Alligator mississippiensis: one gene and its partners. The protein of the gene in region 3 interacts with the protein of the main gene of each other region in a biochemical or structural test. Links are inferred from orthologs where the notes say so. Each region holds a gene or a part of one and is shown on either strand. Other genes may lie near its edges. The genes, in order: RAB11FIP4, RAB11FIP1 and RAB11A.

Region 1 (10,509 bases), on a different chromosome or scaffold from region 3:
AGGGCAAAACTTAATTAAAGCTGGGGTGGAGAGAAGAAGGTTAGGTGCTGGAATGTAGGTGATTGGGAACCTAAGTTTTATGTTTCATGTAGTTTCCCAAAGTCCCCTGCTTCTGTAGCACCAGTGCTATATTGGGACATTTGTATGCCAGCATGAATGACACCTACTGAGTCATCCTAACCATCTTCTGCTCTCCGTGCACTTCACTTGCAAATCATTCATGCAAGTGTTTAACAGCCCCAGGCCTTTTTAGCTTATCTTAGGAGAACATGGCCTAGCATGGACAAATGCACACCTCATTGAGCATTAGACCCAGTGTCCTTAGAAACCTTCTTGCTTTTAGATGATGTATTGCTTTTTTCAAAATGTCTAGTAACTTTATGAATATACTATTTATAGATTTAAAAAAAAAATTTACAGGAAAAATAATAAGATAACTGACTCTACAGGGGATCAAAGCTCAGCAGCTGCCATATTCCAGACAGATTGATTTATCTGCAGAGTCTTTTTCCCCCCTTCGCATCCATAATTAAAATCCTCAGTGCTCTGAGCCAGTGACAAAACTCTTTGAAGAGCAGTTATCTTCAGAAAGGCAATATATACTATTATTTATAGTCCAGTAGTGGGTAAGGACTTCATAACAGTAGACTTGGTACAAACCAAGACTATAGCAAAGACTTTAGAGTCGTATGTAGAATATGGTATCTTTGTTGTCAACAGGCTACCTCCCAGTGGGTTTCCAAATTGTATCTCCTCTGTTCATTGATAAAAGATGAAGTTGGGCCTAAAAACAAAATGGTAAAGATCCAAATGCTTCAGGGAACAGGAGTGTTTAAAATCCAGATCTGAATCCAAATGTTGCCACTGAGCCCATATCTAAATGTGAACACCCAGCTATGGGGGACTGAGCTGGACTTTATTTTGTTGCATAGGCTGTTTCTACACAGGGCCCTTTAATGCACATTAGCCTAAGTTAATGCACAATAAGGGTGTGTGTCTACATGTGCACACCTTAATGCACATAAAAAATGGCAAATTTAGGGTATTTGTGCATTTGCAGGTATCAAATTTAGGTGCAAATCTTTAAAGCACTAACCTTAGTCCCAAGGCAGTCAACACATAGCATTTATGTGCTTTAATGCCTGCATGTGTAGACACCTATCTAAACCTGCTTAATGCACATTAAGATAATACACATTAAATTAAGGCGTGCTTAAATGCACATGCAGACACCCCCATACATAACCAGCTGATTTGGTTGACTAAATCCCACTTCCAGTATTTTTATTACTGGTAACAATATATGAAGCAGAAAGAGCCTACATTTGGTTTAAAATCCCATGGTATGTTTGCAGGGAAGGGCAGGCAATTAAAAAAGTATCTTCTCATTTGTGAACCAAGCAGATCTGATGTGGTGTCAGTACAAGACAATGCACGAGGTACACCCCCCCCCATACCATTTTTAGCAAGTCACTTTTCAAAGCAGAATTGCATTTAAATTATCTGTCAAATATCTCTCCTGAAGATACAAATATATCATGTTTTGTGGAAATCTCTGATGAGAGCTTGTCTGCAAACTTTTCTTTTAGAAATAGAGTGAAATGTGTGTTTGCCACAAAAATGTTCTGTAATATAATAAGCACCATGAAAAACAGTTGAGGCTGCTATTTGTTCCAGATGATCTTACTCAGTGTTTTAAATGCAATTCACTTCTGATAGAGCACCTTGCTCCAGATTTAACACCCTCTACAGAGGAACAATGAAAATGTCCCTCTACAGAGAGACATTAATGTCCAGCCCCAGGAGGCAGATCTGGCACCTCTGCCACACTTTGGTACAGTTTAACTCCAAGCACCTTGAAGTCTACAATGGTAATGTGTCCGTTGACTTAAGAAGCCTGATCTAGAATTCACTTCATGGGCTTCTTTTGTGATGATGGGTTAGTTATTTGACCTCTCTGAAAGGGGAATAAATAATACATTCTTTCCACGCTATGCAGTTATAATGCTCATCTCGTTAATATTGCTAACCACTTTGGAAGTCATTATATACAATAATTCATAATGATATTACTATATATTAACATGTAGCCTCTTTTCTAACCAGGTTTAGATGTATTAGCAGCCTTGAAATGTTAAATATCCTGCCTTTTTTTTGTATATAATTCCAAGTCAGTGACGTTTTGCGTTGAGATCCTGCAGTGATTTTTAAAGGGCCACTCATTGTTCAAAATTCACTGGTAGTTTAACTTCTGGTTGCTTTGTGCAGCTCTGAAGGAACTGTGTAACACAGGCTTTTATGGTATGATTCTGAAGTCCATGCTGGAACTTAGTGTACAATTCCCTGTTGATTTCTGATGAGAGCTGAGAGGCTGGATCCTCTGGGCAGCTTGGGAAAATCTCAGGCAAAATGCTTTCCTCCCTACTGCACACCCTGTTGCTGACAAGAAAAGTGAACTCCCACACCCACAGCCCATTCTTTCATGCTACATCTTCCTACTATGGTCACAAGGCAAGCAAGTGTAGTACAGCGAGGACGCTGAGCTGAACATCTGGGCCACTCCCAGCTTTCAGATCTCAGCCCTTAACTCCTGGTATCCAGTGCCTACCTCTCACGTCTCAATTCCCGTGTGTGCCGTTGGATCAGCTCCCAGCCGTCAGAGCTCAGCTCAGAACGCAGCTGTCTGCTGCGACAGCTCCTATACACTTCCCAGCTCTCTGATAGCGGTGCTCTCACACATCTCCTGGGCACTCAACTTCCCTGCGGCAGCTCGCAGACTTCAGTCCCTGCTCCCCAGTCCCAGCTCAGTTCCCAGGGCTTTTCTCTAAATGAGTCCCTGTTTACCAAGAAATGGAAGATTGCAATGGACACCAGGCAGAGAGGCTTCATGCAATCTTTGTCACGTGTTATTCCCCAACAAGGACTCTATTTCTACCGACGCAGTGTATAAGTAACTTCCGTAGGAGTTAATGGGAATTCACCTCTAGTCTCCTGTTGGAGAACACAGTCCCTTTATTTCAATAGGAGCATCTGACATAGTGAGAGCTCAGCTCTCCCCAGGTAAAAGGCATGAGCCTTTGGTCCATAAAGCTCAGAACCCTGCTTTTATAATAATAACCTTTCAGTCTCCAGTAGCAGCCCATAAAACTCATTGCTTCCCTTTTTCCTGTTCTCAGCTCATCTTCCATCTCAAGTCTTCTCCCCTCTCCCCTGCCCACACCTGTGTTTCCCAGTTGACTGTTTCTACCTTCTCGACCTCCATTTCAAAATCTCACACCGCAGATCTCAAAGCTACATTTAGTCAATTTTCTGTTTGGGGCAAAAATACAATTGGAAAGAGACCAGAAATGGAGGTCTTCGGGTTTTTCCGATACTTGGGGTTAAATCCAGTCTGCAGATGTATTCCTGCTTTTGTCAAAAAGGACGTGTCTCTCCCCTGGCTGGCCAGGTTACCGTTTTGTGATTTAAAAAAACAAAGGAACTTCGCCCGCGTGGTAAAAATGCACGTGCGCAGGTGAAAATTTGCACTCCAGTGACTCGCAGTCGGTCTCTCCCATGCTTGTAAACATCAGCAGAAAAAATGTGGCTCCAAGTTTTTATAAATGTCAGGACATGGATTAATTTACAGGGTGTTTTATGGAACTTTTATGGTATGATTAAGGAAATGATACGGTGACAGTCTCCCAAAGCAACTCCTCACCCTCTCTGCAGCCTTTTAAATTAAGGAGCTTTGGTGGAGGCGGGTACGTGGGAAGCCTGCATTGCTACTATGGCTTGTGCTGTCACTGTTTTGTGGATCAACAGGAGACTTCAGCTTACCAGGCTGTCAAGCCTGCCTTCTCCAACAGTATTATATCTGCACATAAAAATTAGGATGATGCCTGTGTTTGAAGAAACCAAACTGCTGGGGAGGGAGTGCATATCTCCTGGGAAGGAGGGATTTGGATGGGCTTCCTTCCCTTGTGAAATTTCCAGAGCTGTTTGGTGCAATGTTGGGCCTTGGTTATCTCAACAGAGGAACTGATAAAGGATATTTCAGCTGGTAACTGAAATCTTTAACATAAAGTATTTTTAAATGAGCTACCTTATCAATAACTTGCAAAACATTGCTCGTAAAGTCACGCGAGCCATAAAATGAAAATAATGGCTTCTCGTGCTCGCTAACGATGGCAGCGTGTCTAATGAACCAGACTCCGAGCCCCCGAGGAGGGAGGGTCTGCCTCAACCCCTGCCCGAAGGCTGTGTGCAGGATTTACAAGGCCCAGACCATGGGGCACAAACATGGGTCCATCTGTTGCGGGTCAGCGGCTTCCTCTCGCCCCAGAAAACTTGTAGACGTGGACTTTTAACGTGGCCCAAGGGAGAAAAAAGGCAGGACTAGAGGGGGCAAATCGAGAGGGCATCGTTAACGTTGAGCCCGTGGGCGGCCGTCAGCAGAAATAACACCAAGGCAGCTGCACCCGTCAGTGTGGGAGCACCACGTCTGCACCCGGCGGCGTAGCTTCCCCCTCTGTAAACCAGCCCGGCTGTGCCAGGCAGGCTCTCCCAGACTGCGGCAGGGTGGGGGGCGCTTGGTCCACGCCAGGCCCTTAGACATCTGTCCTCCTCCCAGGGCACCGGGCCTCTCCCTGCCGCTCCAATACGCTCACGGCCTTTCCGCCAGCTCTCCCTTAGCGCCAAGGAGGCACAGCGCCAGGAGACACCTGGTGCCAAGACCCCCGGGCCGGGGACACCTGTGGCTCAGTGCCCACTGCTGGCCCCTCGGCCCCAGGGCTTTCCCGCAGATGCCCTTAGCTGCTGCCCCTGAGGTCACCTCGTTCCAGGCTTGCCAGCTCCCCCCATGTCCCTGCCAATCAAATTGCCCCCCCCACACACCCCTGCCAATCAAACACCCCCAGTGCACACAGCACTCCAATCACACCCCCCTGCACACACCTGCCAGACACAGCCCCACCTGCATGCACCTGCCAATCACAGACCCCCATACATACACCTGCCAATCACAGCACTGCCCCCCACACCCCTGCCAATCACAGACTCCCATATCCCCCCTTGCCAATCACAGACCCCCATATCCCCCCTTGCCAATCACAGCCCCTCCCTCACACCTGCCAATCACAGACCCCCACATCCCCCCTTGCCAATCACAGCCTCTCCCCACACCCCTGCCAATCACAGCCCCTCCCTCACACAGATGTCAATCACAGCCCCGCCCCCACACACCCCTGCCAATCACAGCCCCTCCCTTACACACCTGTCAATCACAGCCTCGCCCCTCCACACTCCTGCCAATCACAGCCCCACCCTCACACACCTGTCAATCACAGCCCCGCCCCCAGACCCCTGTCAAATACAGCCCCCCCACACACCTGCCAAAGCCCCACAGACACACACCTACCAATCAAATCCTCCAACACACACACCCACCCGTTCAAGCCCCCGCATCCCCGCCAATCACAGCCCCCCCCACAGACCTGCCAATCAGAGCCCACGCAGCCAATCAGAGGCCTCCGCACACCTGGCTGGGCCCGCCCCGCGCTGACGTCACGGCGCGGCGGGAGGCGGCCGGCCGGCAGGCGGCGGCGGCGGCGGATGGCGGCGGCGGCGCTGCGGGGTCGCGGTTGCGGCCGTTGAGCCGCGATGGAGCCGGGCGGGCCGGCTCGGCTGCTGCGGCGGCGGCTCCGGGAGGTCTTCGACGCGTGCGACGAGGATGCGGACGGGCTGCTGCGCGTGGAGCGCTTCGTGGCGCTGGGGCTGCGCTTCGGCCAGGGCGACGAGGTGAGCGGGGCGGGGCGGGGCCGCCCTGGGGCCTGGGAGCAGGTGGGACGCGCTGGGGGGCACCGTGGTGTGGGTGTGTCAGGCGCTGAGCAGGTGAGATGCCCTGAGCCCGGGCGAGGCTGTTTCGTGCCCACGGGCGGACAGCGATACGGCGCGCCCACGGGTGGACAGCAATACGGCGCGCGCCCACGGGCAACACAAATGGAAGCACAATGTTGTGCCACAAGCTGTGGCGGGGCCCTGGCGTCGGTGTCATGGGAAAGCCGTTCCCTCGGGGTGGCGAGAGCCAGTCCGAGGGGAAGGGCGTCCGTGCAGACGGCAGCAGGCGCTTGTACGCGGGACGGAGGTCGTGCTGTTCCCTGAAACGAACCGGCGGTGGCGAAGTGTTTGGTTTTGTGGGGGTCGGCTTGTCTCTCCAGTCCGCTGCTCCGCAGCCAGCTCCGGCGCCAGGGGGGGAAGGAGGCGGCCTGGAGCTGGTGTCAGGAGGAAAACTTCGGACCCCTTGAAAATGCAGCGAAACAAATGACCCTGCAGTTTTTGAAAGGAAGCGAGATCGTAGGAGCGCTCCGGGGAGGGTGAATTCGCTCTGCTTGTCGAACCAAATCACTCTTCTTTTTTTGGCTCAACCCTGGTAACAAAGCACGGATGAATGAAAGCAGAGGAGCGGGATTCGGGAGGCTCTTTTGCTTGCATAGATCTGATGTTGAATGTTTTCTCTATCGGAGACCACGGTGGTTGTTCAGTAGCCACCGAGATAAGCAGGGGAAGTTAGTGCTCATAATGAGCAGTATTGATTTTTTGTTTTTGTTTTTGTGTTTTTATTTGTCTCCAAGTTGTATATTCCTATACAAGCAAATGATCTGAATTTCTAAGCCCTTGTGGTGAGAAGCATTTTCCTGTGGGCGGTTTTGTACTCTTCTGTTTTTACCCAAATCGGTAGCCTTCTCCCGTGGCATTTAGGAAGGCTGGTGAAATCCTGCGGGCTGTGTTTTGTAGGAGGTGGGACTTAAATGTCTATCAAGGTCCTTTTGGCTTTAATATCTAAGCAAATGTATAAGGCTGTTGGGAGGGGACCTGGGGCCCATAAATGAGTAGATAAAGGAGGATTCAGGTGGCGTTAGATTTGGTTAGGTAGACTGTTTCTTCTTGGCAGGTGATCATCTTAATCAGCAAATATGCAACTTTAAGTTGTTTGAATTTTAGAATGAGATTAAATTGTGAATTCAAGGTCTGTAGTTGTGAAAATGATCAGTTGTGAATGGTGTATTTTAAATATTGGGAGGAGCCTAGATCATGAACAAGCAGCAGAGAAAGAAACAAATAATATGCAAAGAAAGAGACTGAATTTTAGGCTGTGATGTGGGCCCAGCTGAACAGGTGGATGGCAATGAGATGGGTCCTCCACTTGTAACTGAAAATGTTTGAATAAGATATTTACACAGATGGGAAAGGGGGCCCTACCTGTATAGCTTTAAGTAATTCAACTTGTCTCAGCTTTCCTTTTACATAGCTAGTTTGCTCCTCTGCTAATTGAAATCGTTGGAAAGACTTCCCTCGAGCTTTAATGAGCTTTGAAACAGTGGTAAGTTTTACGCTGCTGTTAGACATGGACCATTCAGCATTTCATAGCATTTCACACCATTTTGATTTGGGGATGCTCGGTGTTTCAGGATTATAATTCCCTGCCTCTACAGTTTGGTTTTGCAACAGAGTCAAACCCAGAAAGGTGGTGCTTTTTTAGGGCTTTCATTTTGATGGGATCTAAATATTGTCACTTGTGACTAAAAACTCATGAGAACAGCTTCTGTGATCTCTGTGCACCTAAATCTGAAGCCAGATGTAAACTTTGATTCAGTCTCGAACTACTGCCCAAACCTGATCTGCATCTGAACACTGCGTCTGAACACTGCATCCTGTCACATTCTTGTAAATGTTGGCAGGAAAGAACAACTCTGGGGAGATCTGCGAGTTCACAAGGAGGCAGTTAGGAAAGGGAAGCCGGTGTTGTGGTCCCTTTTGAAGTCATTCCAACTTTAAGGGATCCTTGTATAGTCAGTAGTGCGGTTTTCCTAGTCTGTTCTTGTCTAATTGTAGCGTTTTGTCTTGATGTGCCAAGATGGTGCTTTTCAGATGCAGTCATGGGGCCGCAGTCATCAGACATAGTGGACTTGAGACCTCAAAGAATTGTAGCATCCTTCACTCCCAAAGCAAGTCATTGCGAATGGCACTAATACACCGACGGAGGGTTTATCAGAAGGGAGTGCAGGGTGATGAGGAGCGTGGGTAACTGGAGACAATAAGATGAGTGCGTGGGCAAGTTCGTAGGGAAAAATTGCTAGAGAAGAAAGACGGTGGCCATAGGGGAACCTGTGAGCAAGTAGATAAGAGACAGAAGTGTGTGATAGAGCCATATGGAAAATGTGGGGAAGGAAAGAAGGAGGAAGGGAGGCACAGGGCCGTCCAAAATTGGAGAGCGCATTGGGGCCCCAACTATGGCAAGCAGTGATGTTGTAGTCCTCCCACTCATCCCTGAGTACCAGCTTTGCTGGGGAATAGTGACTTGGATTTTAGTCTGTCCCATGCTTCACCGGTGGACGTGCACGTGTGTTGCTGGTGCTTACATGAGAGGCATGGAAAACCCAGAGGCTGGGCCGTGTGATATAGGCAGTTGGAAACATCATCTCTGGAGCTGTCACATGAACACATCTGATGCGCAGGATCACCACCAGAGCCTTGCCGTGGGACCGCTGCATCTGTCTTACTGTGAGCACCTCTCTGCGGGCAGACAGTGACTTTGCCATTCTGTTCGAAGGGCTGTTAAAAACGAGCTGTGTTAATTCTGTGTCGTGGGTGACGCAGGCAGGCTGTGAGAATCTGCTTCCCAGAATAGAGCAGCGATTTGCAGCTTCATGTCCAGAGGGTCCCAATAACTTCTGGGTGGAAATCTGCTGCAGTGTGTCTGATTAAATTAGACTGAAAAGATGCTGCTGATGAGCTCCCTGCCCCCTTTGACACGTTCCATTTCAGTGTCTGCATGTGCCAGTGGGGACCAACCCGGCTTCCACCTATAACCCATGGGGAATCTTTTCAGTGGAAGCTTCACCAGATTCCTTATCCTTTCCACTTCAAGCATGTTGTACCTAACACTGAAGAGTGGACTCGGCCCTGTTGTGACTCTGATGGTGAATATCATGGATACCAATGTCCAAAGGGCTGCACTAGTGTGAGAGAGCAAAAATTTAGCTCACTTGTTTTTCTCTCCTTGTTCAGAAAAATCTTCCTTCTCCTCCCATCCTCATCTGGTTGTAGCCAGAATCAATCATCACTTCCATTTGACCCTGAGTTACCCACCAGGGCTGGTGAGATTAATGCAGCACACAGTTTTGCCCTCTTTGCGTTTTTTTTGCTTGTTGTTGGTCCACACGAGAGAATTTATCCTTCTGCAAAGATCCGCAGCTTTTTGAAAACTACCTGAAGGCAAAATGCTGCAGCAAAGCAGCAGCTCTTCTGCTTGAGCAAAATAAGCCTTATTTTTACCTGCAAAGTCAAATCATGGAAGGGGAGCTTTAAAATATTTGTGGCTGACCTCTTTTGTGGCCTTTTATTGCCCCTAGTTGTGAGAAATGCATTTCTACTGCACTGTTGAAGACTCACTCTAAGCACAAAAAAAAAAAAAAAAGAAAATCACTCTGCTCCTTCCACCTCTTTGTTATATCCACTGAGGGAAGTCTTGGCCCCATTGAGGCCAGTGGGAGTTTTGCCAGGATTAAACCTTACTACAGTATTATCAAATACAAATCATGTGTTACAAACAACTGTGTTGATTTCCTGTGGTACCTGTAGCAAGGGGGACAGATTTTTCAGCAGTACAAATTAGAGATAAATGCCTCTCTTAAATCATCACAAGTACAAGCATTTTCAGATTCCAACTTGCCACTATTTTTTCATCTTTTTTCCTGCAGGTACAGATGCTGGAAAGCAACAAAGTCAGGTTTACTTTTGCTTATGATCAGTTTTTCCCTTTCTTGTCACTCTCTGCAGTCCTTGAGATATCAAACAACACAGAGTGACAATTATTGGTTTTAAAGCAGCTGTTTTCGTTATGTTTTTTAAGTGCAGAAACGTTTCTGCTAAGGTTTGGTTTTATAAAAACGGTCTTACAGCATGGAAATGTTGGGTCAACTTAGCTGTTATAAAACAGCACCATGTCAACACTGCACCGATGCAAACAGCTTCATCCGTTCAGTAGGGGATTCTTAGTATTTATACTGCAGTGTCACTTGGAGAGGCTTCGGTTAAGCTTTTAAAGAGATAGTCAGAGGCAGTCTTTGCCCCAAGAGCAAACAGTTCAGTTGGACAGAGGTGGGGAAAGGTGAAATTATTTGGCCCATGTATTGGAGCCAGTCGGTTACAAGGCCCAGAGCTCCAGAGTGTCTGCATCATGGCTGCTCTGGGCACCAGACAACAGTGACTTTCAGCTTTTGGCTGTCACCAGCAAAACACCCTGCATGTGCAGCTGCTACTGAAATTTCTGTTTTGCCGAGTGCTTGGGCATTTCTAGTCCTTATTTAACAACCTGCCAAATGTACATGGGGTCAATGGGAAGTGCAAGGAAGGATGCGGAGCGGTGTTTGTAGATGCCCTGGTGAGATCACGTGCAGCCAGTACTTGGGGAAGCACTTTCTGTAGTGCTGACAAAGCCAGGAGTTGCTTGCCATCTGGTTTTTCAGT
Region 2 (11,006 bases), on a different chromosome or scaffold from region 3:
AAGAAGAATTAGTTCACTGCTTACCTCCAACGCAAGTTATATTCCCTATAAAGGTTATTTAACACAATGTTTGCAAGCGCATTATAGGCGATTTAGGCAGTTCAATGGCAGTCACATTACTTGACTAGGCAGTTAAAGAGAAGGGTGGCTCCTGTTTCACTGAATAATGCAGGACATGCAGAACCAGTACTTTAAGGTGACTGAAGAAATGAATTTTCTGCCTTCATCTGAGGGTGGAAAGAAGAAGAGTATGTCCGCTTTCCCCTCAGGTTCAAAGAGACACAAGCAGAACTGGAATTGAGGCAACATTCCTCAGACTACACTCCTCTCTTCCCTTATCTTCTTGAAGTACTTCATCACATGCAACCTGCAATTTGAAACTCTCGACAGCTGATCAAGTTACCAATACAGCAGTTATCAAGTATACTATTGCATTGTGCATCCATGTAAATAAGCCAAATAGATATTTAAAATCTCTAACAGCCTTCTAAGGCTTTTGAAAACCTTGGTTTGTCTTAAAACTTGTTCACACCACTTACAGTTTGTGGTGTGAAACTGTGGCCTCCCAATATACACCTCACCCTGACTGAACAAAGACAGCCTTCTGTCCAGAACCAAGAGCCACCTCTCCCAGGAAGGAGGCCAAGCAGTTCTATAGTGGTCCTAGAGCTTCTTGATTTCTCTCCTTGACAAACCACAGAGTCTGACAGCAAGCACAGATGGCTTGTTCACAGACAGCAACTCAAATGTTACAAGGCTTTGCCCCCTTCCGATTTGCTCAAGGAGCCTGCATGCCACTTCTGCTTGAGTCAGCAACTAGGTTTTAAAATCCAAGTTAACAAAATTATTGGGGGAGAGAGGAAGGGGGTAAGGAGGGAATAAAACATTCCACACAATTCTGGATAAAAATCTAAAGCAATAGTGATATTCTACTTAAAAACACACTTGCTTGAATTATGCTTATGATAATGGACTGCTTTGACTTTATACAATCAGGCATCAATTCACAAGTTATGAACAAGCTCTCATGTTCATAAGACCCCTTCAAGCACATTCCAGGGCTTTCTACTTAGAAAGAACTCTGCCGTGTAATTTTCTGTATTTCTCTTCCATTTTAAGACTACTTCTCAGAGTACTTCAATACGAGACCTTATTAATATTTCACTTATACCTGTTCACTGGCTATAAGATCAATTCTTTGTGCCCATCTATCTCCATAGCAACTCATTCTGATGACAGCAGGGACAGGCTTCGGTTTTGCTGTTCCCTGTGCAACCTGTTCCACTTTTCGAGATTTATACAGAGATTTAAACAGCAGGGGTATCAAACGTATGGCCTGTGGATCTAGCTTCCAAGCAGTCCCATGGTCAGGATCTAGCCTGGGGCATCAGGTGAGTTTGACATACCTGATATATGGGTATTCAATACAGCTGGACAGTTATTGCAATTAAAAACACTCTTTTTTAAAGAACTTCTTGCTTCAGCTTGCCCACTCCACACCTGTCACACTCCTGCTCTAAATTCCTGCATGTTTTACTACCAATTAGACCATTTAATCCATGGAAACTCAAATCAGGATGAACTGCTACCTTCCAGGCCATGATTACACTTGAATACGCATGCGTAGCTTAATATACAGCTGTCATCTTCAAAACATTTTGCAATCATTAAGCTAGCTGATCCTCCCTTCTTGTAAATTACAGACTGCAGTTTCCTCACTTCCCCTTCTGGAGGGATTTTTCTCAAGTGGTGCAATGTAACAAAGAGGATCCGGAAAATGGAGCCTCTGCCCCAAAAGAACAGCCATGTAATGCTGTCAGCTTATAGGGAAAGCAGCTGTGCAAGAATACCAACACATGGGATTATATTTTACATTTAGGGGTAGCTCTTGGCTTAATCAAATCTGCAGAGTCTTTTTTTTACTGGCCACATATTCACACACCCAGTTTGACAGGCAGGACCAACAGTTAGGAGATAAATTCCTATTTGTAGAGTGAGCAAGTCTCATGAGAGCCAATGGCTGCTGAGCAGAGGGATCCCAGAAACTATTTTTCTGGGATTTTTCTTCTTCAGCACTCCTATCTTTACTTTCTCCCAGCTCCCCAATGCTCCAAGCCACTCTACTTCCAAATCTAAGCTTTCATTTAAATATTTCTAGTCTTTGAGAAGAAGAGACCAGAAACATTAATCAACTACATGAACTCACAGCAATGTCTTCCCAAAACCCAATGTGCAGTAGATTAAGATAGCAAAGCTGGTCCTATTCATTCAGCTCACTTCATTTCTGAAGACGAGATGGCACTTAACATAAAAAAACAGCAGCATGAATATTACACACTGAGATATCCTAGACAATGTACTCTAAAGTGCAGAGCCTCAGGACCAGGGGTGAAGTGGCAAGGAGAAGAAACATTATGGGCTTATTCTCTGTGATTCTGTCTGTAGTTTAAATGAGGGTTGGGAGGGCTGGAAGGGACCTAGTCCAACCCCCTACTCAAAGCAGGACCAGCCCCATCTACATCATCCCAGTCAAGGCTTTGCCTAGCCAGGTCTTAAAAACCTCGAAGCATGGAAACTTCACAACCTCTCTGGGTAACCTGTTCCAGTGTTTTACTACCCTCCAGGTGAGAAAATTCCTCCTAACATCCAACCTAAACTTCCCTCGCTGCAACTTGAGACTGTTGCTCCTTGTTCTGTCGTCTGCCACCACCGAGAACAGCCCAGCTCCAACCCATCTCAGTCGGTACCTGTACTCCAGGAACAGCAGCCCTGAAACTAACTCGGGACAATTTCAAGGCCTCTAGCCCAAGTCCTTTGAGAGCTGTTTCCCCTCCATTGCTTCAGTCACAAATTACGCACTTAAATAGAGTCACTGTCGACAGTGGAGCTGAAAGACTTTAGGCAAAGCAGCTTGTATCATGAATCAACACGCAGAGAAGCAATGTTATTACATTAGCAACCCGTAAAACACTTTGTCAAGCGTCAGGGGTACAGGTTGTAGTACGCTGCCAAGCATCACGCAGCCGTGGGCACTTCTCTGACAAGTGGCCTTCTCTGTGCTCCTCCAGACCCTCTCAATAAAGCCGTCCCCGCGCCCTCCCTACCCTGCCCTCCAGTCTGTGGTACGTGAAGGGCTGCACGGCAAGGCTGAACCCCACACTGCCATGGAGCACGAGCAAGAAGAAGTGAAGTGTCACAGGCAACGAGGGTGGAAGGGACCTCAGGAGGTCACAACTAGCCCACCCCCCTGCCCCTCTCCACACCAAGCAAGCCCAGTCCCCTCAGCCTCCCCTCCATCGTGCGCCCCAGCACCCGCCGCCCCACGCACCTCTGGCCTCGCGGCCTCCGGGGGGGCTAGAGACAGAGCCAGGAGGAGGAGGAGGAGGAGGAAGGACAGGGAAGCAGAAGCAGCTCGTTACCCATCGGCACGGCAAGGAGAGAGCCCGAAAGAGCGGCGGGCTGCGGCCTGGCAGAGAGAAGAGAGAGACAAGGGAGGAGGCGTCACCGGGGCGGGGACCCCTCGCACCCCGGCCCCCCACGCCCCGCACTGACCGCGTGTGGCGGCGGCCGCCGTCGTGCAGCAGCGGCTCGAGGGGCACGTCGGCGCGGCCCAGGAACTTGTCGAGGCCGACGAGGGCGCGGTGCAGCACGGTGAGCTGCAGGACCGGGCCGGGCGCGCCCCCGCCGCCGCGCCGCGCCGCCAGCTCGAACGTGGCCTCCTCGCGCCACACGGGCCGGCCCAGGCAGCGCTCGGCCACCGACGTGGCGAACTTGTCCTTGCCCAGCGCCATCAGCGCGTACGCGTCGCTGCCGCCGCCGCCCTTCGCCTTGGGCCGCAGCCCCTGCGCCTGCAGCACCGTCACCTGCACGTGCGTGGGCGCCCAGCGCGGGGACCCCGGCCCCGGCAGCGACATGGCGGCACTGAGCCCCCGCCGCCGCCGCTCCTGCTACCCCGGCAGCCGCTGCTTAGCGCCGCTCTCGCGAGAGGCGGGACCGCCCGTGACGTCAGAATGGGCGGTGCCGAGCCGCGGGGTAAGAATTCTGGGCGGGGCCGAGCCACTAAGGTCAGGGAGTGGGCGTGGTCACGGTAGGAAGCCGGGGCGTGGGCGGGGTCTATCTAGGGTGGGCGGGGCCAAGCCCCTGGAGTAAGGGGGTGTGTTGTGCCTCTTTCCCGCAGGCTTCGTGCCCGTGCCCCTCCCTCGGCTCCCAGGCGAGGAGTCCCACAGGGCGGGTGCGTCTACACCAGAAGCGTCGCAGCGCACCAACTGCGCAGTCAGCGGCAACTCTGGGCACACCACCTTTCCTTAGCTCTTTATTAAGGAAGTCTTAAACTCAGTGTGTCTCAGTGTCTCAGGCACGTTAATGAACGTGTAGACGCGCCCAGCCAGGGTCGTTGTGCTTGGTAGATCGTGTATTTGGCAGTCCCGGTTCTGTCCGTCCAGAATAAAGCTTGTAAGAAAGAGGCCTGTTCACTTCCAGAAGCACCGAAGGCGGCAGGTGACTGCACGAACCAGGGCGCTCTTGCGCCCAGCGCGCAGAACTGGACACAAGCCCGATCCCTGCGGGGACAGTGCCCCGGCTAGGAGCGCCAAGGCCCGTGCAAGGCTCCTCAGGGGAGCAGCTTTTCTAAATGAAGCACGTTTGTTTAACTGGGAGCTTTGCAGCCGGCATCGGTCTCGCGCAGCTTTCGAGGCTCCGGTCTCGTTGACCGACTGCGCCTAGGAAAGAGCTGCAGCACCGATGTGGATGAGGATGGGGCTGGACTGCTGGCAGAACAAGGAGCAAGGGTCTCAAGTTGCAGCGAGGGAGTTTAAGGTTGGATGTTAGGAAGAATTTTCTCATGAAGCACTGGAACAGGTTACCCAGAGAGGTGGTGGACTCTCCGTCCTTAGAGGTTTTGAAGACACGGCTAGACAAAGCCCTGACTGGGATGATCTAGTTGGGGCTGGTCCTGCTTTGAGCAGGAGGTTGGACTAGATGTGACCTCCTAAAGTCCCTTCCACCCTCATTTTCTGTGACTCTACGTGGGTGTGTAGGACCCGTGGCTTTGAGCTTTTTCCCCTCCATCTGCACTTCCCTCCCTGGCCCCTCTGCTTCTCAGTCAGATCCGAAGAAAGCTTGTTGCCAGCAGACAGCAGACGGACCGGAAGGTGGAGAATGCAGTTTTGCTGTCTGGGAGTTTCGGTGTGACATGCCAATGTAATGCTTGGAGGGTGGGGTTCTGCTTTATTTGAGGAACAGAGGAGTCACTCATTTACACATGAGTTAGTAAACAATGATCTCACCTATTGCCCTTCCTTATATCAGCTACCAACTAAGGTCCCCATGCATGATCTGCGCGTGCTCGCAAGACACATTGCGCTCCAGCACTTAGATGTGTCCTCACTTGGGGTAACTAACACAATGCTAAAAAAAAAGGCCTGTCCCTCCCCTCAGACTCTCTGTGCCCCTGGTTTCAACTGACTGGGAGCCAAGTGCTAGATAATAAAAGAAATCACCTGCAAAAGCTCTTCACATGAACATTAGCAAAGGCTCAGAAAATTCTCTGGTGTCAAAGAGGCTTTCACTGTTTAGTTTTAGGTGTATTGGTTGTAGCCGTGTTGGTCTAAAGGCATAGGCAAACAAAGTTATTTGGGTAAATGTGATATCTTTTCAGTTTTTGCTCTTTTGATCATATGATGTCACTATGTCACGGGGCTGCATTTTACGTTGGAGGCCTAGTAAGACAGAGGCCTGAATGTCTGTTCATAAAACAGCTGTCTGATGGAAAAAGAAATTACAGAGCTTCTCTGCATATCTCATGCATACACCCACACTAATGCACCAGACACCTCCAAATTGTTTTCTTCAGCATGTTGGTTTTAATGATTCATGTTACAGCTCCCGGGCGAGTCAACCTTTCCTAATCCTAGAACTCCAATCCCTTAATGTCTGTATGTACCTTGCTATCCAAGTCACCAGGCCTTTTTTTCCCCTGAGGATCTATGGCCAGTTAAAGGAGGATGCTAGAAGCCAATTCAAAATCCGGTAGACCCAAGACCCATGAGTCAAGTGTCTGAGCTTTCCTTTTGACCCCTGACATACAGACAGTGCTGAACTGCATTCATAAATCCAGCATGGGAAGAGATTAGCTCCACCTTTATAGCAGAGACTGAGCATGAAAGATGCTGACTGTTTTAGGAGTTTAAATGGAAACTTTGCTAGCTTAGTAACATTGGACATCACTAGGCTCTCACTGTTTAGAGCAGATCTGCTGGACAGGCAAGGCAGAGCAATGGCAGTATGCATCCGCATTCGCGTGCACACACACAAGGTATGTGGCAGTGAAATCTCTAAGCCAGGCCACGTGAAAAACAGCCGAGGTATGTGACAAATTAGTTCACTGCACACCTTTGATCACCTCACCTGCCCTAAACACCTCACTAAACTCCTCATTCTACCATTCCAATCCTGTGAGCAACATCTTTTTGTTGTTGCTGTTTCATTAGCCGGGAGAGAAAGGTTGCCTTCTTCTCTCCCCCAGCATAGGATTCGACGCCATAATTATACATGCCTAAAGTCCCAGTGGAGAAGAATCACTCCTAGCCCCATGACAGGTGTTTTAGTCAGAAACCTGTCATAGCTTTGAAGTCCACAGTCTCGTGGCCGTGTGTGCCTCTAAGTGGATGGATGACGTGTCTCAGCAAAAAGTGGCAAGTCCCAGTTGCCGATCGGACCAAGCACTGGAAAGGGCCTGAGATGAAATCCTGTAACGCTGTGATGGTTTGAGCCTTGAAAAGCTGGTTCGTACCCCATATAGTTGGAATGTAGCTTTCCTCAAGCCCCACACAGTCAGAGTTGTGCTAAGGAGCCCAGCTTTAGAGGGGAAGCTACACCCAGGATGTGAATGTGCCAAAGCAAGGTGAGATGGATTTTGCTGTAGGGGAACTCACACCTGGATTGGGCTCAGACAGGTGCTTAGACTCTCCGGCCACCTGTGCACTGAAAATATGCCCCCTCCCCACTGCTGTAGAGGGCCAGGCCCAGCTCATAAAGTGCATGTACGTTGTTCACAGCTTGTCACAAATACCTGTAATACACTGCGCCGTGCTTGAGGGCTTCTTACATAGATAGCACTGACCTACTGCAATCAGACACCATTGTCTGCACACCTTGGAAATGCACTTATGTGGCTCAGCAGAAGCAGGGAGGACATCACAGGCCTCTATCCTCAGAATGACCTCATCCCTTGTCTTCACGGCTAAAAAAGGCATTTTCACTGCACAGAAGGTAATGCATGATAAGTCCCTGCAAGGTGAACTCACCATGACGGCAAGGCACTTCAGTTTTACGGTGCACTCGGCACTCTTCTCCCACAGCTATACCTTGTCTGGTTTAACTCATAGTATCTGTTAAGCACCATGTTTTCACCATGACCACTAAGTCGCACCCAAGGATGGCTGCTTTTCTAGTATGGGGTAGGTACCATACAGTACCCACGGAAGTAATGTATAGTAAAGCTCCCACTTGCTGCTGGAGTGGGAAGATCTTGGCTTTGTGCCCACTTTATGGAAATGGGAGACTCCTTCCAGGCTTACCCCTGGGGCCTTATGGCTGAGGGCAAGCGAAACACGGGGGCATCTGAACCCCAAGTCTCCGAGCTTGGGCCTGCACCTAGGATGCCTGCCAAAGGATTTAGAAACATCTGAAGCCCTAGGTGAGGTGGAGGATGTTTGCCAGCAGTAGGGCAAACTTGACTGACTCACAGATTTGGAATTGATTTGGACCAGAACACAAAAAAATTATTTAAAAAAAATATATGTTTTCACTGTGTTTTTACCTTGGGTGGCTCTCACTTGTTGGTTTCCCTGTGGTCCAATACATTTATCTTTCGTAGTGTGGAGACAAGGCTTCTAATCATTCGGAGCAGAGTCTGGTCTCTGCTGACTCACTGCTCTGCATACCAGTCCCCCTCTCGCTTCCCGTTCTTCCATTTTTAAAGTGGGACTGATGATCTATCTTGCCTATGTTAAGTCACTCTGCTTTTGGGGAACAAAACATGGGACTTAGCCCTGGATGCTCCACGGGCAGATATTGAGAGCCCTGAAGCCAGAGACCAGCTCGTTTCAGGGGCAGGGCAACTTCACAGTTAGTAAATGCCAGCCCTGATCAGGACACTACCTGTTGCTGAACTGCTGGTCGTCTTTCAGATTTGGGATGAAAGTCCCTTTTAGGGCGTCCTATGACACAGCCGTTGAATGTGAACCTATTCCAGAAAACCCTCTCAGTCCCTCAGCCAGCACTGCCACTTCCCCCTTTCTAGCTCTCCCATCCCAAGTGAATTCCTGGCAGCTTATTTATTGGATTAGTTTAGACAGCAACAACCTATTTCAAATTGCAAACCAAATAATTAGTCATGCATGTATTTCACCTCCCCAAGTCAGCCACTTAAGATCTTTTATCTTTTAATAGCTCTGTTTATCTTGTCTTTTGAGAAGGGTGAACGTGCAGTGTCATGAGATCAAAACAAAACAAAAAAGAGACTTTTAGGTATCATTACCATGCACGCAGCCCTGTGTTACTCAGCATTTTGGTCATGCTTAAGTTTTTCCAATTTCAGGCTGAGTTCAAGTGTGGGAGATGTCAGCACTAGGCAGCATGAGTCTAGCAATGCAAACTACAAAATTAAAATGCTATACGCACAGGGATTAACGAAGGCTTCTTGGTAACACGCTCGGATTATCACATCAGCACCTGCATACCTTGGTTACTAGGCCAGCGTTCAGACTTCTTTATGCACTTTTTATCTTAACTATCTGGGTGGCGGTGATTGTCCCTGCTACCATGTCTATCGGGGAAGGACCTTGACCTGGCTAAAGGGGCACTCAGTACCTGTTGCTTGTGTAATTCCATGTTTCCTTGTCCTTCGGCAGTTCACCTAAATAAGCAGCATCTTTTACATTTGGGGCTAAACAGCAGTACTGCCTTCTGCTGCTCATATACAGTCCACGTTAACCTCTGTTAGTAAATTGTGAACCTATTAAAATGTGTTATACAGTATTTGTGCCAGCTGCTGGCACGATGTTAATAACCAATAACAAGACTTGTTGCATTTTGTCCTTTCCCCTTGTTTCGGAGCTGTCTCAGTCCACTTTGTCCTTGCACTCCAGCAAAGTGTTTCAGCAATTCTGAAATGAGATTATTAGTGCAAACCACTGGCAGCTGAACATTTTTCCTTTTGACAGGGCTGATCTCAAAGCAGGCTGGAGCCTCTTGCTTGGTGACTGTAATCGGGTTAGGTTTGCAGAGACACAGTGTACTTATAAGATCCCACTGGAAGATGGTGAAATTATGCTGACTTACAGGAAAGCAGATACTGGAAGAATGTGGGAGATCCTGGTTGAAAAATGCAAGCAGAGGATGTGATGAACGAGGATTCAAGCCCTGGACAGATCATACAGTAATGTGCTATGGGATCTATGGACCCTGGACAGGTCACACAGTAACGTGCTATGGGATCTATGGACCCTGGACAGATCACACAGTAACGTGCTATGGGATCTATGGATGTACGAAGGGTTTCTACCAAAAGAGCCAGGGGCTTTGACCTAGACATAAAACAAGTTGACGGAGGCTACCACGGGATGAGTGCTAGGCAGGCAAGTGTTAAAAATAAGGCAACCTGATGAAGGAATGAGAGATTTCTCAATAGGTTGCAGTAAAAGATAAGACCTTCCTTAGCACACCAGCCCCTACTCAGCAGGAATTTTCCATTGGGTTCAGAGAGTGCTGGGCCAGTTGAGGGAGCAGGCTAGCGAGAGAAGAGAACAAAAGTCTCAAGAGATGGCCCTGGGAGGATTGTGTGGCCCCAGAGACAGGGAGGCATTGTGGATGCTTAAAGTGAGCAGTTTTCCTCGCTGATCTCAAGAAAGGATGTCAAATGATGGAGTGAGGTTTCCCACGAAAGCAGGAAAGCTGGGAAGAGGAGCACAGTCAAGCCAGAATCATTTACCAGGAAATTAGGACATCTGGACAGCAGCACCCTCTCGCACACCAAGGGATCAATCAATCAGCATGCAGATTGACTTAGAGAATCCCAAAGTAGGGGTGGAACTGGTTAGGTCCATCCCAGAAAGCATAAGGAAAGAAAGATAATGTGGTTAGGGCATTGGCCTGGTGTTCAGATCCAAGTCGGGTTAGCAACCATCTCTATGCCTGTGCTCCCCCTGTGTAACAAGAGGGTAATAATCTTTCCTTTCGCCCTCATTTTGTCTGTGTTGCTCGTTGGATGTGTAAGTTCTGGGAGGCAGGAACTGAGTCTGACCGTGCACGTGTGCGGCACCCAGCACAACAGGCGCTCCCATTAGATGGTGAGCAATGATAATGAAGGGACGGTCTTGGGGAGGACCACTCCTGCTTAATCCCAGCCATTGGGAACACACTGGAAGCACAAAGCAGACACTGGTGCAGTATCGCAAATGGGAGGTTGCCAGTGTGCATAGACATGTCTCTTCCCTCCAGGGATGTGGAGAGTACATTGATGCTGCAGACTCCAGTGAACCCAAATCAGCTCTCAAGTTGCTGCTCGTGTTTAGGGAGAAGTCCAGGCATGACAACCCAGAGCTCAGGGCAGGCTAATTTACCCTGCCAAAGTAGTAAGTGGCACAATCACAAGAGAAAACCTTGGGGAAATTCACCCCGTGTCTATCCCTGTGTACCGCTTGTCCAACTTAGAGTGGTGTCTAGGTCTCATGGTGACCCTCCAGGCAGGATAAGTTACACTGAGGACAGACCAAGAGATATTACTGAAGAACTGCAGGGATCAGCAGCCCTGACCCTGCTGCCCTCGTCTGCCACATCAGTAAGCTGGGAGCTGGAACACCACATATTTGAGGCAATGGAATTTGCTGACAATACAGAAGCAAGAAAAGCAGCAGCCAGCACAGAGGAGGAGGGTAATCCATGTTCAAACATCAGAGACACAAGAGGCAGTATCTAAGGCACCCAGATCAATGCACGGCTGCAAT
Region 3 (10,953 bases):
GATTGACGGTTGCCTGTACAAGGTCTTCCAGAGCATTTTCTATTCTTTTGGAATAATAAACCCCATGTATGTTTGTAGAGGACACACAAGAAAATTAAGGTCTTCACGGAGTAAGTTGAGTTGTGGTTTCCAATCAATATCAATATACTGTATTAAAAAACCATTACTAACATTTCAGTGGCAAAAAAAAGCAGCAGCATTACGGAGGACTGGATGGCCCATTCATTCGAGTCAGGATAGAGGGCTGTTCAGTAAAACACAGTCATATATGAAAGTTTGTGCCTGCTATCTATCTATCTATCTATCTATCTATCTATCTATCTATCTATCTATCTATCTATCTATCTATCTATCTATCTATCTATCTATCTACCTACCTACTTTGGTTAGTTTATGAAGTACAAGTCTCCCCGACCTCTAGTAAAACACAGCCAGCCTAGTTCAGCAGCGACAGACACATGCACACTTTGACAGCTGTACAGTGCTCTAAGTGAGCTGAGGTTGATAGTTTCAGCAGACAGGTGCTTCTTCACAAGAAATAACACACAGGGCAACAACCACCAATCTTGTTTCAGCAGCAAAAGCAGAGCTTTGGTTAGCCAAGAGCCTATACTGTCTTCTCCGTGCCCTGGAACTGGTCCCTTTGGATCAAAACGCAGGTATCCCGCGGGGTGAGCAGGGTGGGGATGCTTGTTCAGCTGCTGCCCTGTGGATTGCCTTTAGCTCCAAACTGAGATCAGAGGAGGGGGATGTGAGAGGGCAGTAAAGAAGCAGGGGTGACCACTGGCCAGTGTTATCTTACAAGCGTGGAGCAGACTCAGGCCACACAAGTGCACTTGCAAGACTACAGTAGAGGCAGGAAAACAGTGACTTCATTTCCTCAAGTGTCAAGTCATTTGGGCAGCTGATTCCTGCAGAGTGGTGACAACATCTCCTGGTTCTCATTTACCAGAAAGATGATGATCAAGAGTAGAGGGTGTCAAAGATACGGCCTGTGGTCAGGATCCAGCCTGCAGAGCCCTATCATCTGGCCTCTAGTGTTGCCTGTAGAACTCAGAGTTGACCCACACGTTGCATACGATGTGCGCTGGGTCGGCCCATGTGCTGCACATGGTGCGTGGAGCTGGTTTGGGATGTGCTCTGCACAAGCAGCCCACACCACACTGGTCTGGGATGCACTCTGCATGAGGCGCCCCCGCTTCCAGGCCAGGCCAGGCCAGGCCAGGCCAGGTCGCACGCTGCATTCACTGCCTGTGCAGGCCTGGGCCAGGATGTGCTCCGCACATGGCACCTCAGTCCAGGATGAGTGCTGCACTGGATGTGCACTGGATCTAGCACGCAGGGCTGGACTGCAGGCCCTATCAGCCTCGCACCATTCCTCCAGCCTGCAGGGCCTGATGAGTTCAACACCCCGGATTCAGGGAAACAATTAATCTAGAGAGCCAACACTTTCTGGACCACTCCCTCCAAGCTTTCTCCAGCTGGGATGTATACTACATTTTTTGGTGTATAAGATACATTCCTCAAAGGGATTGTTGCAGAGAGTATTGCAGAAACATTTTGTTTTTACTTACATCAGCTTGAATCTATCAACCTTTAATACAATAATTTTAATTAATTTTCATTGCATAGCTTTAAGGTATAAGACACCTTCATTATAGGTCTCCATTTCACGGGAAAATGTATCTTGTTGGTCAGAAAATACAGTAGATATATTTGGTAAGGGGAAAATGGTCGTAGGATAATATCAGATTCGAGTCCCATGTTGTCAAAACCCCACAACTTGGGTAGAAGTAGGCTGATCTAATGTCCTGGATCAGATCCATCTCTTGTTATATGAACAGTAGAAGCAGGACGGGAAGAGAGTTTATAGCAATTCAGATAGACTTTCAGTAGAAAAATCTCTCCCTGCTCTGTGCTTTTTTTATAATGCCCACTTCAACCAGGAAACACCATGAAGGGAAGGACTTCAAGTACATTGCAGTCCTTTAAATTCAGTAAGGTCTGCTTAAAAAGGGAAGTCTGTTATTTAAACTGTCGGGTTTTATACTCTCTCCAGAGTGACTAATGTTGGGCTGGGGCTGGTGATGCCGAAAGTGACTCCTTCTCTTTTATAATTTACAGCCTTGATTGGAAAGCTCAGTGAATTATCTCTGCATAATTGCAATGATTCATTGCTTGTTAGAAAATTGGAAAGTATTGATTGGATTTCCCCCCTAGGAAATATTTCTCCTCTGGAAGAGCAGGGTAGGTTGCCTTTGCTCTGCTTTTGTCTTTCCTGCTTGTTAATAGAGGAAGCCTGTGGTCTCTGATCTGAGAAACAGGAATTTGGGTCAGCAGCCAGGCAAGGACAATGGTGAATTATTGTCACTTGCTGCTCCAGATCATTCTCTGAACTGCTCTCTGATGCGTTTTGCATGGATTGGAAATGTAGAGCCAGAAAACCTGCAGCCAACAACAGCAGTACTGAGTTGCCGACGTCCATTCCAGTTCCTTCAGCTCCCACCTCGAGTCACTCTGCACACCCCCGGGAGCCTGACGATCAAATCGGGGCCCTGCTTAGGTCAATGGCAAAGCTCCCGTTTGGTTTAATGGAGCTAGGAACCTACCTGAAAGCCTGGGCTTTGGGCCCTCTTTTAGGGCATATAGTAAAAAATGCGGGCACCAAGTCCAGCATCAAATGCCCCTTCCATGTTATTTATGCTCCTAATACGTCTCATTTGCATGATAGGGTCATGCCTGTACACATAGCTCATGCATGTACACATGAATAGTGCTGCTGCAGTTGCCTGTTTCAGCAGCTAGCGGCTGAGTTTCCAGAAATGGCTGTAAACATAGCTATGACTATGCCCCCTGCTTCTCTCCCGCATCAGACACTTGAGACCTATCTGAACCCCAACCCTTGTCTGCGCTCCAGACATGTGGGGTGTCTCTCAGCTGCTCATTGCAGAGAAGCATGTTTCTGTCTCAGCAAGGAATGTGAACCTGGGTGCAGCTGGGGGTTTTCCCCTGTAGCACTTGCACAAGACTGAAGCTCGTGGCACTAACTGGGTACAGCAACATAGGGAAGGGTACTGAGTCATCCCCCCCACATGCTCCCAATCCCTGACCTGCAGAAGCCTCTGTGATTGCAGCTCGGAGCATACATGCCCCGGGGCTGTGAGTGTACCTCATTGCTAACACACTGGAGCCCAGATAACCCACCCCTGGGTCGCCCAGTGCCGCACTGCTGCACCCTCTCCTTGGCTTGCACCACCCGTCCCATGCAAGTGGACTGTGTTACCAGGCCTCCCCCCACAGGAACGCCGACGTTTTGGTGCAGTGAAGGGATGCATTACAGCACGTGGAAAATGTACATACAAGGTACTTTTGAGATCAACTGGTAAATAAGAACGCCATTAATAAAGAAACCCACACAGGAAAAACTTCTCTTGAGTAGGAGAGCTCATCTAGCTTTCCATAGCAATGACAGTCTTTTAAAGCGTGAAATTAAGTTTCTGAAGTTCCAAGTTAAGAGACGAGTCTTCGTAACGACCAAGTTACAAAGAGAGCCCCACAAACTCTTGGTCACCCCACGGCAAGTCCAGGGGTTCATCACAATGGTGCAGTCCTTAATCCCTAGGTCCAGCACCAGAGCTGACCATAAATAAACTCATCGTTTGCTCAACTACATCTATTTTAAAAGCACGTCTTTTATGCTCTTAAATATAAAATATATATAAAATATATATTATAAAAACATGATCTATATATTCTATACTGAAGACCACAATCCTTACAATCACATGCATGACAAAATGAACATTATGACAAGCACCCCATTGGAGGCTGGCACTTTGCCAGCCTGCAAGGGAAAAGCCACGGTTTCCCACCTTTTTCTCCTTTAAAAGAGAACCCATTTTTAACTTTTTCACATATTCTTGCGACTCACGTTTGGGTGGCGACCCATGGGTTGAGACACACTGCCCTACAGAACAAGCACACGTGGGACCATATCCAGGCAGGCGTGTTTGCTTTAGGCAGAGCTCATGCCCTACATGGTTTGCCTTTTGTGTAGCCTTATCTGTCGGTAGCAAAAGGGTCTAATCTCCCCTACCGCACCCTGCTGCTCTGTCTTGCAGGAGGGAGTCTCCCATCCTCGCAGAGCTCGCTTGCACGGCTGCCCTGCAGCTCAGCCCGACACGGGGCCGCTCGCTCTCCCCGCGTGCTCACACCACCTCCCTGAGGCCTCAGCCGTCCCACTCGTGAGAGGGTAACACTTTAGGCCAGTGGTTCCCAGCCTTTTCAGACACGAGGCAGACTCCAGGCATCCCCGGGACAACACCAGCTCTTCGTTTGCACTCTGTTTTGACTACAGAAAAATTTGACGCCACTCAAGGCAGCGATTCCCTGGGCAACTTCCATACCCACCACTCCCAGCCTGGACAGCTGCTGGGCCGCCAGCCACGGCCACTGCTCTTCAGCCTCAGCCCCGCGCGCCCAGAGGAGCCCCCAGCGTTACCCCAGAGCGCTGCGCTCCTTGCTGGGCTGCAGCCGGCTGCCCCGTCCCATCCCGTCTCTGCTTCACACGTCTCCGGAGGGGCCGAGCTGGAATAGCGGGTGTCCCGCCTGTACGGGCCCAGCTCCTCCGGGCTACACTTATCCTAAATAATAAGGAAAAGGGACCACGATAGACTGTCCTCTGCCCTACCTCCATTCTTCTTCTGGGCTTACTTTAGCCCAGCCTGATGCTGGTGTCGTCTGCTCCCTCCTGCTCCGTGACCTTCCCTTTCTCCACACGCGCGGCCCCTCTGCCAAGCACATCATGCTGCCCCTTCCTAAACCCACGGTGCGTCCACGCCCTGGCTGCTGCGCTCAGCTCTAGGCCCAGACCTGGAGAAGGTGCGGAGGAGGGCGAGGAGGAGGATCCGTGGCACCGAGCGGGCCGACAAGGCGCTTGGTGGCGAAGGGACAGTCCGTGGGGACTGACCGTTGACGCCCCTTACCGGACCAGACCGGAGCCGGGCGCTGCGCGGAGGAGCACGCGCTCAGCTGAAAACGCAGCAGCTCTTGTTCACACGGCGCCGAGTCCAGGGGGTGTCGCTGCCACCCACGGGGGGGTGTGGGGGTCCGGGGGGGTCTGGCTGCCACCGACGGCGGGTGTGGGGGTCCGGCTGCCACTGCCGGTGGGGTGTGGGGGTCTGGGAGGGGGGTCTGGCTGCCACCGACAGGGGGTGTGTGGGGTCTGGGGGGGGTCTGGCTGCCACCGACGGGGGGTGTGGGGGGTCTGGGGGGGGGGGTCTGGCTGCCACTGATGGGGGGGTGTGGGGGTCCAGGGGGATGTTGCTACCACTGACAGGGGGGTGTGGGGGGTCTGGGGGGGGGTCTGGCTGCCACCGATGGGGGGGTGTGGGGGTCCAGGGGGATGTCGCTACCACCGACGGGGGGGTGTGTGGCTGCCACCGACAGGGGGTGTGGGGGGTCCGGCTGCCACTGCCGGGGGGGGGGGGGGGGTGTGGGGGTCCAGGGGATGTCGCTACCACCGACGGGGGTGCGTGGGGGCCCGGGGGCGGGGTCTGCCTGCCACAGCGGGGGGGGGGCGCGTGGGTATCAGCAGTAAGCTGCACGTGTCTGGGAGTGAAGTGAAAGGTTGAGTGCCGCGCGCGGGGCAATGCAGTGTAGTGCAGTGCCGTGCACTGGGGTTTCCCTCCCCCGCCCCGCGCTGCCCCGCCGAGGTGAGGGCGCGCAGCGGCCCCGTCGGACCGGCTGGGGGGGGGGGTGGGGGGGGAATCGAGGGAAAAAGATCAGGTTCCACCGAGATTTGAACTCGGATCGCTGGATTCAGAGTCCAGAGTGCTAACCATTACACCATGGAACCGCCTGACGCAGGCGCGCCCCGCCCGCCTCTAGAGCTTCCCGCGCCGGCTCCCTGCACACGCGTAGTAGCGTCTGCCCCGCCCCCCACCCTGCACGGGCAGCCTGGGGGGGCGGGGGCAGGCGCCCCGGAAGCAGTACCGGCAGCCACGCCCCCTCGCCGGCCCGGTGACCCCAGAAGCGCCTGTGGAGGAGGAGGCGGGTGTGGGGGGGCTCAGAGCGGAAGTGCCGCAGCGCCAGGGCGGGGCCCCGCGTCCGGCTCCTCAGTCCCCGGCGGCGGCGGCTCGGCTCGGCTCAGCTCGGCTTGGCTCCGCTCCCCCTCGGCACCATGGGCACCCGCGACGACGAGTACGACTATCTCTTCAAAGGTAAGGGCCGCGCCGGGGGGCATGTCCCCTCCCGCCCGGCCTGCGGGCCCGGCTCCCCGCACCGGGCGCGGGGCGGCGCCGGCAAAGGCGGCTCCCAGGGCCTGGGCTGGGCCCTGCGCTGGCGGCGGCGGGATGGGGTGGGGTCCCTCTACCTACCTACCCACCCACCCACCCACCTACCTACCTACCTGCACACACAGGGGTAGACACACGCACCCCCAGGGTAAGTCTCCCCGGCCTCCTCCTGCACTCCCTGGGCGGGCTGCCTGTCTACCCCCCCCCCTTTTTGGACCTATATACGTGTGTACACACACACCCAGCCCACTTTTTTTATTACACATATATATTCGCAAGCTGTTGTGAGCTGCAGCTTATTTCACCAGCTGCTGCAAAAGGGTGGGTAAAAAGCAGAGTGCGAGGAGAGAAATTAGACTAGGTGGGGACAGAGAAGGGGGGAGGGGAGGGAAGGGGCTGGGCCTGGACAGACAACCCTCAGACCTGTAGGACCAAGGGTAGAGTCCCCCTCTGCCTGAAGAAGGGCGTTTGTGCCCGAAAACTTGCGAAGAACAACTTTTGCAGCTGCTTAGTTGGGTAGATGTGATGTCGTCTATTAGACCCAAGAGCCCTGTCCGTCCAGGCGCGAGGGTGCCTCCCGCGTGGAGCCGGGCCGCGGGGTAAGACTAGTTACCCCTGCGCAGGCCTTGCAGCAGATGCTTCTTGCTTCCAAGCAGGATGATTAGAAACAAGGAATGACTCACTTTTTAAGGCAAAAGAGTTATCACGAGCTTGTATTTTATGGCTTCTTTTGCAAGGCTGCTGGTCTGTTCCCAAAGTGCGGGGGCCGCTGTGAAAACGTTAGGATGAGCAAAGATTGGTGGTGATGGTGGACAGGGTCTTGCACAGTTAAACGGTGCGTCCCTGAGCCTGGCTAAACTCCTGTTTGGGTCCGGTACTGGTGTGACACATGTATCTCGGTGCAGTAGAGTACGTTGTGTTACTTACCTGGCACTGCCTTTCTGCACTTGCACACCCACCGATCTCACTTCCTGTCGTCTCGCTTCGCGCGGCTCCCAGGAGAGCAGGGCAGCGCTGCCCAGGAGCTATGCAACTTCTTTTTTTGGTAGTTCGCTTGAACTTTATCACAGCGTAATATAAATGCTCTACTTCAAGTTCCACTTTCCATCACGTAAAAAAAAAATCAGCAATCTGTTGCAAATGTTCGCCAGAAACGCTGTAAAAGCATGCAGTTGAAGATAAGTTTGAGGTTACTTACTGCTTCAGCTAGCATTGAAAAATCAGTAGCTTGAAAAATATTTTAAGACCAGTGTGGAGTTAGAAGCAGATTTTCAGGAGACTATTAACTGCAAGCAGCTATATCTAGAATATTATTTTATCCCCTGTGTAGCGAAGGGGATGTTAGTTGGAGCAGATGCCGTATGGCAAAGGGGGAGTACAGAGTTCTTTGCTGTGCGTGTTTGTTTTTACCTGCTTGAAACCCAGCAAATGAAAATTGTCATTATTCATTTGGTTCATTTTCATTTGGAAAATGGCTTTCCTTACCCCCCCCCCAGCCTTTGATGGTGCTAATCCAGATTGAATTTTATTAGTAGATGTTAATTACATTTGAAACAAAGCCAGGGGGCCTGATTTCAACAGTTGTCCCATGTCAGTCTTACAGCCCAAGTTGCAACATGCCTATAGATAAGTCTTTTCTCGTCATTAAGGTAGATTTGCTTTTGGTGCATTCCCATTTACACTGGGAAATCACCAACTTCTACAAAATGATGTGTAAAGTGGACATATGAAAACGTGTCATCTTTACATCTTCTGTTTACATAAGACCGATGATAGTTGGCTTAAGGTAGCTGTTGGACATAAAATTAGAGGCAAATCGGGTTGAAAATGGTGGTTCTTATGGTATGAGCCCCACATGCTACAGTTCCAACTGAATCGGAGGATTTATAGCAAAACGGCTATCCCCTGACTGTTGAATGCCTAGGACATGCGGTTTGTCCCCATGACAATGCTGTACTACACAGTGGGCTGTAGGAAAGGCAGTGATGTCCCAGGGACTTGGAGCGTGAATCCCAAAAAACAGACATGGTCTATGTACCCTTGTCTGTCTGTGTCACATCACAAATATTTTTCCCCAGAAAAGTGAGGTTAAAAAAAACATGGTGGCATAACTAATACACTAATTCAGGGTGGCTTCTGAATTTCGTAATGTCGCTTTCTGACCTGGATTATAGAACCTGATGTAATCTAAAATATCAAGGAGGTACCCTAGACAATCTCAACTGGCTTTAACTTGTTTGTGTCTTTTTTTTTTCCCTTGTGTTTTGGATATTATGTAATCGTTAGAAGGTTTGGCTGCAGTGTTGGTTACACCTTCTGCGAAACTCCAAATTTGAGACAAGTGAACCAACAAACTCGCTTCTCATTTCTGACAATCAACTGATTTAAATATGCCAGGCCAGAGGAGTTGTACTTCCTTCCTTCTTTGCATCTTACTCATTTTTCCAGCTTTATTACTAAATCAAAAAAACTCCTCTGAAACTGGACAAACTCGCTGGTCTGGATTTCACACAATGCACTGTTGTCTCATATTTGCTCTGTTTATAGGAAAAACCCATCTCCTAAAAGCTTCTGGGTTTTTTAGCCTGCTAGTAAGCCCTAGATCAGAGGCTCTTTTTCCATTACAAATTAAGGTATTTCCCTCTGATGTAGTTTAATTACTGTCTCCTTTGGATTTAAGCTTGGAGAAATAGATTAGTAGCAGTATCTTTCCAGCATTTGTATTCCAGTATCTTTCCTTCTTGCATACTCTTGGAGGGCTCCTCCCATGTTTCAGAGGGATAAAAATGTGTAGGTACAGGGCTTCAGTTAGATGGGTTTGATGTTCTAGATGAAGGAGGTGTACCATTTATGATTGATACTTGTAGACAGTGCAGTCTTGTAGTACCAGTTTAGTTAATTTAACTGGAACCTGAATGTAATTTAAGCTAGCTCATGACTTTTATTTTAATATCAAATGTTTGATTTTTAATTCAGGTTTATAAGAAAGAAGAAAAGTTGGGTAGTTTAACTTTTGTCTGTCATTTTTTTTTCCTCTTAAGAGTTTGGTTTTCATGCAATGTAAGGAGCAGAGTTATATGGTCATGTTTTGGACATCTCTTGTTCTAGTTCAGGCTCTGCTGGGTTTTCATTCCGTACCTCTGACATGTCATTGTGCACAAATAGTGGTGTTTGCAGTTGTGTTTTTTGTTTTGCTTTGTTTTGTTTTTTAATCCCCAAAACCTCCCTAATCCTTAGCTAATTGCCATTGGTGTAAAGCATGGTCTGAATGCCAAGTAGTTCACTGAAGCTAACTGCATTAACAAATCATTAAAACCGTTAAAAGCTCCCTTCTAGAAGAATGGCCAACTATTGGAGAATAGAAATTCACTTATGTGAATTTATTAGCTCTTACAGGTTTTGGGACAAGGTAGGGTTCAGTGTTCTTGCATTTAAAGGACCATGTTTAAGTTTTTTAAACTCTTTAATTGCCCCTCATGAGACAGTGACTGTTTCCTAAAATAAACAGATTTGGGGTAGTGACAGGTCTGTTATTAAAATAGACTTTTGTACAGTTTAACAAATCCCAGTTATTCTCTGCTGTTTTGAATAGCAGTTAGCCAAATATTCCCAAAGACCAGATCACTAGTATTGCTTTCAGAGATTAGGTAAAAATAGCAAGAGTTAGGTTCAATCCAGAGGTGCAGCAGGCAAAAATGAACTCATGAAGGAAAAATCATTTGCAGTCTAACAGGGTGACTAAAAATGGGAAGTTTCAACCTGGAAGGTGAGGAAATGATTGCTAACACTCTTAAAATACTAGTTAGCAAAATGCTAATTGACTTGCTATATTAGCTAGCCAACAAAAATGGGGAGTCAAACTGTTTGAGAAGAAAATTACTCTTTCCTTCTAATGATGTTGGGCTTCCTGCTAACTAAAGTAATGCATACATCTGAGACTGGATTTATGTATTACTTTAGTTGTCTAAGCCCCTCTCTCTTGCTGCTACTATTTTTCACTTTCTCAATTTGCTCCTTTATCTCAGAGCTGCTCAGATACCAGGTGCTGTGTGTGCAAATGCAGGCTGATTCAAGGGGTGGAACTTGCTGTGTTAACTGGTCAGTCAGGGCAGAACCTATGACTATTCTTAATGTCTTTGTAGTGAGCTCAAGCTTGGCAAGAAGTGTTAGGGGGAAGTAAATTGCAAACACCAACTTTTTAGTGCTGCATATGGCATTGCTGTCCAGCCCTGGTGCTTTCAGGCATTTACATTTCACTGGATGACCATTGTCTTTTCTCTATACTTCAGTCCTGACTAGAGTTGTAGTGGCCAGTATCTAATAAATGTTGAAGCTAGAAGCATACAGTCTGTTACCAGAAAGCTTGAAATCCAGCGGTGTGTTCATCTCTAGTTTGTCAAAGGTAGGCTGTGCCAGACTATCCTGATTATCTTTTTCTGAGAGAAGGATGGAGGAAGTGCATTAGTTGTGACCTGTCTGAATTTTACTAACATGTTTTTAGATGGTGCAAAATGGGATATTATTTCTGAAACTGGAGAGGAAGGAATTGGTAGAAGAATTGTGAAGGTATTGGCTGTAAAAGAGGTAACAGTGGGTAGTGCTGAAAGGGAAGCACTGAGCGGCTCAAGGTTATGTTCCTCGGGGATCTTGAAACTGG

Evidence for each region.
Region 1: the proteins of RAB11A (region 3) and RAB11FIP4 form a complex in vitro, tested with the Homo sapiens proteins (2 studies listed by BioGRID, with this or other methods). The link is inferred for Alligator mississippiensis from reciprocal best matches to the Homo sapiens genes RAB11A and RAB11FIP4.
Region 2: the proteins of RAB11A (region 3) and RAB11FIP1 form a complex in vitro, tested with the Homo sapiens proteins (2 studies listed by BioGRID, with this or other methods). The link is inferred for Alligator mississippiensis from reciprocal best matches to the Homo sapiens genes RAB11A and RAB11FIP1.

Annotation. Positions count from the first base shown.
Region 1 is NC_081831.1:7,595,749-7,606,257, reverse strand, and holds the start of RAB11FIP4 (rab11 family-interacting protein 4), read left to right. Parts: upstream 1-5,618; 5' UTR 5,619-5,640; coding exon 5,641-5,778; intron 5,779-10,509. UniProt on the Homo sapiens protein: Acts as a regulator of endocytic traffic by participating in membrane delivery. Required for the abscission step in cytokinesis, possibly by acting as an 'address tag' delivering recycling endosome membranes to the cleavage furrow during late cytokinesis.
Region 2 is NC_081830.1:18,615,590-18,626,595, reverse strand, and holds the start of RAB11FIP1 (rab11 family-interacting protein 1), read right to left. Parts: upstream 3,986-11,006; 5' UTR 3,915-3,985; coding exon 3,553-3,914; intron 3,531-3,552; exon of another isoform or gene 3,329-3,530; intron 944-3,328; exon of another isoform or gene 25-943; intron 1-24. UniProt on the Homo sapiens protein: A Rab11 effector protein involved in the endosomal recycling process. Also involved in controlling membrane trafficking along the phagocytic pathway and in phagocytosis. Interaction with RAB14 may function in the process of neurite formation.
Region 3 is NC_081834.1:5,470,914-5,481,866, reverse strand, and holds the start of RAB11A (ras-related protein Rab-11A), read left to right. Parts: upstream 1-6,062; 5' UTR 6,063-6,181; coding exon 6,182-6,221; intron 6,222-10,953. UniProt on the Homo sapiens protein: The small GTPases Rab are key regulators of intracellular membrane trafficking, from the formation of transport vesicles to their fusion with membranes.